2 linked regions of the Caenorhabditis elegans genome follow. The protein of the gene in region 2 interacts with the protein of the main gene of each other region in a pairwise test. Each region holds a gene or a part of one and is shown on either strand. Other genes may lie near its edges.

What was found.
Region 1: the proteins of C01G6.4 (region 2) and ubc-13 interact in a two-hybrid assay, tested with the Caenorhabditis elegans proteins (one study listed by BioGRID).

The regions. Positions count from the first base shown.
Region 1 is NC_003282.8:2,922,053-2,927,899, forward strand, and holds ubc-13 (Ubiquitin-conjugating enzyme E2 13), read right to left. Parts: upstream 3,640-5,847; 5' UTR 3,639-3,639; coding exon 3,359-3,638; intron 2,320-3,358; coding exon 2,152-2,319; intron 979-2,151; coding exon 971-978; 3' UTR 539-970; downstream 1-538. Other genes in the region: fbxc-45 (F-box C protein), read right to left, coding at 1-64, 110-177; manf-1 (Mesencephalic astrocyte-derived neurotrophic factor homolog), read right to left, coding at 5,659-5,825.
Region 2 is NC_003280.10:9,270,521-9,275,074, forward strand, and holds C01G6.4 (RING-type domain-containing protein), read right to left. Parts: upstream 2,523-4,554; 5' UTR 2,505-2,522; coding exon 2,440-2,504; intron 2,258-2,439; coding exon 2,200-2,257; intron 2,152-2,199; coding exon 2,083-2,151; intron 2,033-2,082; coding exon 1,944-2,032; intron 1,438-1,943; coding exon 1,206-1,437; 3' UTR 745-1,205; downstream 1-744. Other genes in the region: C01G6.3 (Lipoprotein), read left to right, coding at 7-129, 177-632.

The sequences.
Region 1 (5,847 bases), on a different chromosome or scaffold from region 2:
GATAATCAGAGGTTGCGATTTTTCGATCTTTACAAGAGATGGGCATTGTGCGGCCAGTCGGAATCTGAGAATTATGTATTTAGTTAATTACAGAAACTGTTTGTCTCACCTTTTATTCGCCTCCAAGTGTTTGATAATGCACTGCATGGATAGATAGGTGAGTGGCTTCGAGTCCATGTTTGCAGAAATCTGAATTAAAAATTTTTTATCGGTAATTGCTTCAAATTTCGCAAGAAAAACATGAAAAAACACAGTTAAAATTCGAAAAATCGAAAGAAAAATCAAAAAGCTACAGTTGAACACATCGCGATGAAACCCATGCAACAAGATACTGTGTGTCCCTTTAAATTTACAGTAATATCAGCGTGCATTTTTTCGGCATTTCTCACTTTCGGCAATCGGCGATTCAGGCAGTTTCCAGTTTTTAAAATTTCTATCACAATATCTACTATTTATTCTTCTATTTATTCTTGCATTTTTTCCGGTTGAAAACCATCAGGCTACTGCTGGAAATGCCTTCAAAAATTTCTCAAAAATTCTCAAAAAAAATAACGACTTTATTCAAAAAATCATCAAAATTTCCAAAAGAGAAAAAAAAATCAATTTCGATGGAAGAAGATTTTCTGGAAACTGGGAGAAAAAAAGAAGAATTTAAATTAAATGGACGACGACGGTTTGATGAGGATCGTGAGACAACAGAGACAAAAAAATTTTTTAAAAAATTCAATGGGATGGGGAGGAAATTGTAGAATTTCGAGACAAAAAACCGGGCGGGGACAAAAAAAATCAATATTTAGATATATAGTAGAAGATGGGGAAAATCGAGATTTTTATGCAATTCATACAATTTATTGGAAGTTCGTAAGGGGGCGGGAAAAGGCGGGACAAAGAGCAGGCTGAGAGAATTTCGAATTTTTTTTTGTTTGATGTGATTTTTTGTAGTTGTTCTAGAGGCGAGCTTCGGAGACGATCAGGCTTCTGAAAAAAAATTATTAATTTATTTTTTAAATTGTTAAAAAAAATTTATTAAAATGCATATTTATTGTTGGGTCCCACAGCGAAAACTAGGAAAATCTACTGTTTTCAGAGCCGAAATCGAAAATTCGAAGGGTCGATTTACGCAGCCCGTGTACTCCTCGAGGAGAAGTGGGAATGATTTTTATACAGTTTTTTAACATTAAAACTACCAAAAAAATGGCTCATAAATTCAATTTCCAGCTGAAAACTGCTTTTAAGACACTAAATACTTCGATTTTCACTGAAAAACTGGAATTTAGCGCTAAAGTTGTTATAGTTATGTAAAATTTGTGGAAAAGTCGATGCGAAAACGGTCCAAAATCAATCATTTTAGCGCAATTTTGGAGCAAAAATCGAAAAATCGAACTAGAAACCTCCGAAATTGGCACATGTCGATTTACGCAGCTCGTGTACTCCCCGCGGAGAAGAGGGGTGAAGCACATGGATTTTGAGGCGAAAATTGTTGATGTTGGCCTATTTTTTCCTGATTTGAATCTTTAAATCACCAATTTAGGTCTAAATTATAGTGTTTCTGATAAATTTTTATTTTCGATTTTTTAAAGGTTGAAAAACTAAAAAAAATTCGAAAATAAAAATTTATCAAAAAAGCTATAATTCCGAGCAAAAATTGATGATTTAAACGTTCAAATTAGAAAAAATAGGCCAAAATCAATAATTTTCACCTTAAAACCCGTTTTTTTCACCCCCACTTCTCCTCGGGGAGTACACGAGTTGACGTAAATCGACATGCGCCAATTTCAGGGATTTTTAGTTCGATTTTTCGATTTTGGCTCCATAATTGCGCTAAAAGTATTGTTTTTCGCCGTTTTCGTCGACTTTTCCTGAAATTTTACTTAAATATAGCAAATTTAGCCGTAAATTACAGTGTTTTCCGTGAAAATCGATATTTTTAGTGGCGTAAAAGCAGTTTTCGGCTGGAAATCGGATTTACGAGCCATTTTTTGATAGTTTTAATGTTAAAAAGGTCAAAAACTGTATAAAAATCATTCCAACTTCTCCTCGGGGAGTACACGATCGGCGTAAATCGACATGAGGTCGAATTTTCGATTTTGGCTTCAAAAGAATTGCAAATTTTCATCGATTTCGTGGCGAGACCCTAGATATATTACTGACGAGCATAGTTCATCGTCCATTGTTTTGCAGTCTTAATCGCCTCGGCCTCATTCGTTTTCCATTGCTCGGCGACATCAGTTGCCAGTGGATCTTCCGGATTTGGAGCCGAAAGAAGAGCCTGAATCGACAGAAGAACCGTGCGAATTTGAAGAGCCGGCGACCATTTATCTGAAAAATTGGGCATTTTTTTTCGAGAAATTCATGTGAAAAAGCTCAAAATGAGCAGTTTTTCGAGATAATTCGCATTAAAATAGCCGAAAAATTGAACTTTTCTATGGATAATTTGATTAAAATGCGCAAAAAATGAGATATATCTATCGAAATGCTTTCTTTTGGAGTAATTTTTCGATAAAAATTGGAAAAAATGCGCAAAAATAAAGAAGTTTTCGAAGAAATTACACGAAATTTGTAATTAAAAATCGAATTTTACTATCTCTCCATTGAAATTACTAAAAAATCAGATTTTTCAGCAATTTTAACAAGAAATTCGCTTTAGAATGATTAAAAATAGCTAATTTCGATCATAAATTGAAAATGTCCCTCGAAAACTGGGGGTTCGCCGAAATTTTCGCAATTTTGAATAAAAATTGCCAAAAAAACGCCGTTTTCCGAGATTTTCGATGAAATTTGGTTAAAAATGCGCAAAAATGATACATTTTCGCAGTTTCTTTGAAAAAAATTTCACAAAAAGAGGGTTTTTTAAAATTAAATTTCGAGAAATTCGCATTCGAATGCACCTAAATATATTTATTAGAACAAAAAAAAACACGATTTTTCTCGAAATTTCGTCTATTTTGTCAAAAAACGCTCAAAATAAGCTGTTTTTGATCCATTTTTCCCATTAAAATGCGTAAAAATTCATATTTTTTGGATTATTTTCTCATTATGCGAAAAATGAGCATGAAATTCGGATTTATACGCTCAAAAAGAGCTAAATTTGATTTAAATATTAAAAAATACAAAAAATTCATCTAAACTCGTGAATATTGTTGAAAATGGGCTGTTTTTCGAAAAATTTCAAGTAAAAATATCCAAAAAAGCTAGATTTCTGAATTTTATCAATAAATTTGTGTTAAAACAGTGTAAAAATAGCAAATTTCGATGAAAATTCAGAAAATTCTCTAAAAATAATTGATTAAAACGCTAAAAACCGTTTTTTAAAAAATTTTTTCACTAATTTTTCAAAAAAAGGGGAAAATCTATTCACCCTTGAGAATATCGAGACAAATTCTGCCGAGTTTATCAATATTCGGATGATAGATCTTTGTCATGAATCGAACTTTCGGTGCAGCCATCGGATACTCTTCCGGAAGGAAAAGCTCCAACTTGAAGACACCACCAGCAAATGGAGAATCGTCTGGCCCGGCTATCATGACATGGAAGTATCTGGCGTTGCTCTCGTCTGGATTTGCCGATATTCCGGGAACCGGATCCGCGAGAAGTCGTTGTGTCTCTTTGATGATTCGACGCGGAAGTTGCCCGGCCATTCTGCAAGAAATTTTATTGTGTGTTTTGGGGCTTTTAAGCTGATTTTTCTATTAGAAAAACGGATTTTTGAGTGCAAAATGGTGAAAACTGAATAAAAAAATATATATAAATGTATAAATTTTGGCTGAAATAAAAGAAAAAAGACTAATAATTCAAGGTTTTTTAATTAAAAATCAAAGTTTTTTCTCGAAATATCGGAAAAGGGCCATTTTCCGCAAAAAAAAAGTTAAAATATCTAATTTCCTAGGGGAAACTATGAATTTTTACTTTAAAAAACTGTTTTCCTCGAATTTTCAACGTAAACATCGGCCAAAAATCGATAAAATTGTGTTTTTGGCATTTCCAACCAAAAAAATGCTCGTTTTTAGCGATTTGGAATAATTTTTTTGGAAAAAAAAATCGATTTTGGTGCAAAATAATAGCAAAATTGGATTTTTGTGCAGTTTCCATGGAAAAGTGGAATAAATTTGATGGTTTTTGAGTGATTTTAGAGCTTTTCCCAGCGAAAAACTGTTTTTCTGTTAAAAATTCAACAATTAGACGGATTTTTGAGTGCAAAATGGTGAAAACTGAAGAAAAAAATGTATAAATGTATAAATTTTGGCTGAAATAAAAGAAAAAAGACTAATAATTCAAGGTTTTTTAATTAAAAATCGAAGTTTTTCTCGAAATATCGGAAAAATGCCATTTTTTTTAGTACAAAAAGTTAAAATATCTAATTTTCTGCGGGAAACTATGAATTTTTCAATTAAAAAACTGTTTTCCTCGAGTTTTCAACGTAAACGTCGGCCAAAAATCGATAAAATTGGGTTTTTTGTGATTTCCAACATTAAAAAACGCTCGCTTTTCACGATTTCGAATAATTTTTTTGGAGAAAAAAATCGATTTCGGTGCAAAATAATGGCAAAATTGGATTTTTGTGCAGTTTCCATGGAAAACAGTGATGAAATCGCATATTTTTGCAGAAAACTGACATTTTGGAGTAATTTTAATCAAAAATAAACGCAAAAATGTGTATTTTTGACGTTTTTGGCATTACGAATTCGTTATTTTTGCGGAAAATCGATATTTTCAGCACCAAAATGTTGAAAAAGACGCGTTTTCTACGGGAGCTTTCAGTTTTTCATCTGAAAATATGTAAATTCACCGGTAGTTTGAGTGAAAAAATCAATTCAACAGTGAAATTTCGAAAAAATAGGATTTATGTGCATTTCAGAGTGAAAATTGGCATTTTTGACGTATTTTCCATCAAAAATAATGCCAAAAACTGAATTTTCGACGTTTTGAGCATTTTGAAAACGCTAAATTCGAGAAAATCGATATTTTCAGCAAAAAAACGCTGTAAATTCTCGTTATCCACGCGAAATCTTAATTTTTATACTAAAAATGTATAAATTTAACGGTAATTTAAGTAAAAAATCAATTCCTTTGCGAAATTTTTAGAAAAATTGGATTTCTGTGCATTTCCCAACGAAAACTGTTATGAAATCGCATATTTTTGCGGAAAAATCACATTTTTCGGTAATTTTAGTAGAAAATATCGCCGAAAATTGATTTTTCGGCGTTGAAAAAGCTGAAAATGGGTATTATTTTCCATTTTTACGTATTTTCCATCAATAATAACGTTTCGAAATCGATAAAATTGGTTTTTGGAGGTTTTTAAGGTGAAAATCGATATTTTCAGCCTAAAAATGCCAGTTTTCGACCGTAAATCTTCGAAAATCACATTTTTAAACTGATTTATTTCCTGGAAAACCTAGAAAAAAGGTAAAATAAATTATTAAAAACCGGATTAGAACCGAAAAATTGGCAAACTGAGGGAAAATCAGGGAAAAAAGCTTCATTTGACCAGACCAGTGGGAGGAAGATGATGATGAAACACGAAAAAATTAAGGGGGGGGGGGGAAATCAATAAATAAATTATTATTAATAAAAAATAGATTTCAACAAGTAAAATTGCAATAAAAACACACACGCTAAAAACACGATTATCACATGTAGAACGGCATGAAAAAAAAATCACAGCTCTTCTTTGACATATTTCGGCTTAAGCTCCTCGATGCGCTTGATGAGCTCGGCCTTCTCGGTGCATCCCTTGCACACCTCTCCCCACTCGCCGAGAATGTTTTTCAGCTCTTTCACGCGCATTTTCTTCAAATCGATCGTCTTCCAGTCGAGTGGCTTGTCTGTGAAATTTGGGGATTTATT
Region 2 (4,554 bases):
TTTCAGTTGGCCCATGGAGGAGAGTTCTTGCACAATGAGGAGGTCTATGCCTATTATGATATTCCACAATTCGTCCTGATCACTCAACAAGCTGTAATCCCAATTGAGCTTGAAAAATGCAAAGTTTTGGTTAGTATTACTGAATACTCTTTCAAATTAAATGTTTCAATTTTCAGTTCGGCACGTACATTTACTGCTTCGAAGAATTTGACACCCAATGCGACGTTCGTACTCTCTCGGATTGCCCAATTTACGCCTACAAGACCGAAGATGAGTTTGTCTTCCGCAGAAGCTTCGGAATCGGATATATTTACGCTACGACCGAGTCTGATGTTGATTTGTATCAAAATGGCACAAAATCAACCGTTCCTGGACGTGTCTTCGTGCTCCGAACTAGTTTTGGAACTCCAACCACTGAAAACGGATCACCAGTTATGATGCCCGATATGACACCTCATCACGAGCCGGAGAAGAGCCAATTCGCCGAATTGCTGCCAGAATCGCAGAAGATTCTGAAGTCCGACACTCCGACACGATTGTATACCACTCAACGACGTGGTGTGAACATGCTAAGCCATAAGCATTACGATCAAGGAGCCTGGGATGCCGTTCGAGACTTTTTCGGATTTTAATTGACTTTTAATTTTAATATTTTTTTCACCACGAGTACCAATTTCCATCAGGGATCCAATCCTTTTTTTCAAATTTCAATTTCCAATATGAATCTTTTAATAAAACAAGTTTGACAATTTGACACTTTATGCGTTAAAAAAAAGCAATTTATTTGAATTTCAGAGTAGCCGGAAGTTTTTTTGGGAAGTCAATAAAATGAGTATCAGATACATAGACAGAAAGTGTGTACCGAGTGGTGAATTAAAGAAAAGCTACAGAACAGAGAGCGAGATGAGTGAACAGAAGAAAGAAAAATAACACGTTGGGATGGAATTGACTAAAAAGATGAACAGGAGATGATGAGGAATTAAAGACGACTACAGTATGCACAACATGGGGATTTCAGGTGGAACAGAGCAAAAAAGAAACAAAATGAAAATGGTGAAAGATGAGTGAAGAAATGGTATAGTTCATATGTACACGCATTTCTATATACAGACGTTTGTAATGGGGACAAATACAGCCAACACTGCAAACCAAACTCGAAAACTTCTACTGGGCAAGAAAATGGGAATATTTTTTGCAGAAGGCATTCATGGTTTGGCAGTTGATGAGGAAGTCGGCGAGCACACGATTTGTTGTAAGGATTGCATATTATGGGCAGTTAACGAGGAAAGTATGGTTGAATCGACTGGTTCAAGGCACGAAGGACATGTGAATGACTTCATAAGCCATTCGTCGACGCATTCTTGATGAAACGAGTGCATGCAAGGAAGGAATCGGATTCTCTCTCCTGGCTCAAAGTCGATCATACAGATGGCACATCTGAAAATGGTTTTTTTAAAAATTTAACTAGAGCGCATTAATACTGATTATACAGGCGCGAAATTTTGCGCCAAAGTGCGATACACGGTCTCGACACGACAATTTTTTGTTTAATGCGAAAAGGTGTGAGCCTTTATAGAATACTGTATTTTCAAACTCTCCTTGCAGCGGAAATTTCATCATTTTTTAAGTTTCGTGAAAATGTATGTGATTTTTTAATCACATATATTTGAGTTTTCAAAAAAGAATTAAAAATCTATGAAATTTCCGTATATATCTATAGTTTAAAATTACAGTAATCTTTAAAGGCGCACACTCTTCCACAGTACACAAAAATTTTGTCGTGCCGAGACCGGGAACCATATTTTGTGAGTGAAATTTTGCGTCTGGGTGATAATAATTTTTTCAACACCTCTGCTGTAGCTCGAACAATAATTGATATTGGTCAGATTGTAGTTTGAATAATTTAGTTAATTTTTCATTTAGATCCGAATTTCAAAACTTACTCATTACTGGTCATATCTCCTCGAAATACATCAGCAGGGATTTGCTCGAGAAGTCCTCGAATTCGGTTTTTTTTTGCTTCGTCGAGTTCCTGAGAATTTTTTAAAATTTAATTAAAATTATTCTGCTCTAAACGCTCACTTTTCCCTGTTCCTGTGCTTGTCGTTGTCTAATTACGTTGTGTTGATAGAGCTGATTTACGTACGAACTCTGAAAATTTCAGTTTAATTAAATTCAGATTCTTCAATAATTTCTTACGCTTTGTTGCATCATTGACGGATTTGTGAAGCTCATCGCTGCGTCTGATGATCGGCTCCTGCAAAAATAGTTTATTGAACTTGTTCTATACTTCAAGCATACAATCTAATTGTATTTAAATTTTTAAAAAATCGACGTGTTTTGGTTAATACAACTTCCGTTTTCATTTTTGTGGTATATCACATCAGTTTAGCTTCATCGACATCTCACAGTATACTAGTGAATGACAAAGTAAATTACCGTCGTAGTGGCGTCTCATCGTGCTGTCTGACGAACCCGAACAACGACGGCAAGCAGTTTCCCATTGTCGATCGAAAATCAAGCTGAAAAAAAAGTCGAATATATGAAGATGTGACAAAATGAGGACATCGGAGTATTTCTCAGACGACTAAAGATGAGAATTTTCTACATGACTTTTCCGGATGGGTCTCGCCACGCGGGCAACAAGTTACTGTAATTCGTGTCAAAATACAGTTTGCCATAGCGTTATATTTCTCTAATTTAATTTAAAAAATTCTGACTCATGATTAAAAAATGTATATTGTACAATTTCGGCCCGTAAATTGACACGAGCTACAGTAACCCACTGCTCGCGCCGCAAGACCTTTTAGACGTCTAATTAATAGTAAGATAATGTTCAAACGTCCATGCATGGAAAACCAGGAAGGAAAATTACTCATAATTACACATCGAACTTTAAGAACAACATCACTGCGACTTCTTTAATTAATCAGGCTTCCCAGAAAATCAATGAGAAAACATTTTTAGCGACTTTGTGAAACATTTTATGTGTATGTGTGTCTGTGTGTTTGGGTGTGCACGGAAGCTCTCGTCAAATATTGATTCTCTGGGAAACCGGGAATGACTTTCCGTAGTTTGCACGTATTTATGCCCAAAACAGGTCTCGAAACCAAAACAAATAGGACATGAAGACCCTTTTTTAAGGAAAAGAGTTAACAATAGACTTAAGAAGTGAGACGATTTAATCAGTTACTGTATCTAGGTGGTAGCTAAATATACTAAATATCTTTAAATTATTTGACTGATCATTGCAGAATTTCGTAATCCGTTCTAAAACATCAAGAATCATAGGAAATGCATTAGCAACATTTTTATACGACATAATCGTACAAAACCTAATCGATAGTAAACATTAATGTTGTCTATTGATAAGAAATACAACATTTCGATATATATTCAAATTTAAGCATGTTTCTCGCGAGGAAAGTCTAGACTAAAAAGAAATAACTAATAATTTTTGAAGTGATCAAAATTTGAAACTTAGATTCTAAAAACTTGAATCGATACATGTGAAAACAGGTGAAAAAAAGCAGTACGACCAAAAGTGGTTGTGTCTCGAAGCAGTCTTCTCATTTTCTCTCTTTCACTCTTTCTCTCTCTGTTCGATTGCAGCTGTCTCTTTGAAACGAGAGTTCATTGAGCCATAAGAGTTTCAGACGATGAGACAGCTGAAATGAGAGTATACGAAGAAGAAGAGACGCAGAGACATAACCGCATGACTTGGGGACACTCATGCCCACTGGGGCCCCGCCTTTTCCTTCTTCAGCTGTCAATTTTGTTGACGGAACTTTATTTTTTCAAATCATATCGAACAAAATTTTTTATCAAAGAGTCCTAACTTTTTTTTTGGGATTTCTAAAACTACGATCCAAACCCTGGGATACAGTAACCTTTTTCGTATTACAGGAACGCAAAACTCGGAGAATGCATATTGTGCGACATATTTGACGCGCAAAATATCTCGTAACGAAAACTACAGTAATTATTTAACTGACTACTGTAGCGCTTCTGTCGATTTACGGGCTCAATTTTCAAAATCTTTTTTTTTTTCAAAAAGTGACAGCAATATTCCATTTTCTTTCGTTTCTTCGTGTTATTTTCTCATTTTTTGCTCAATTTTATTCATTTAAAAAATCGAACGCGTAAATCGACACAAGCGATACAGTAATCATTTAAAGAATTACTGTAGTTTTCGCTACGAGATATTTTGCGCGACGGGCTACTGTATTGTTCTCCTAATTTTTTAAAAATTGTCGTCCCAATTTCACTGGTCAAAATTCCAGAAAGAAAAATGAAAGGAGTTTCTGAGGCAAAAGATTGTGATTCGTATAAATTATAAATTGCTTTTTCAGAATTATTTTCTTCAAATACAGCATCGCTTTGTTTGGAACATCAAATTCGAATTTATTTCCACTCTCAATGTACTTAAATTTACATAATAAATTAAATATCTGTTAAGCAATAACTGAAAATTAAATAATCGACATTTTCAGATAATTAAATCAAACTTTATCAAACTTTATTCGTGAACACCGAACAGTAATGAAAAATACA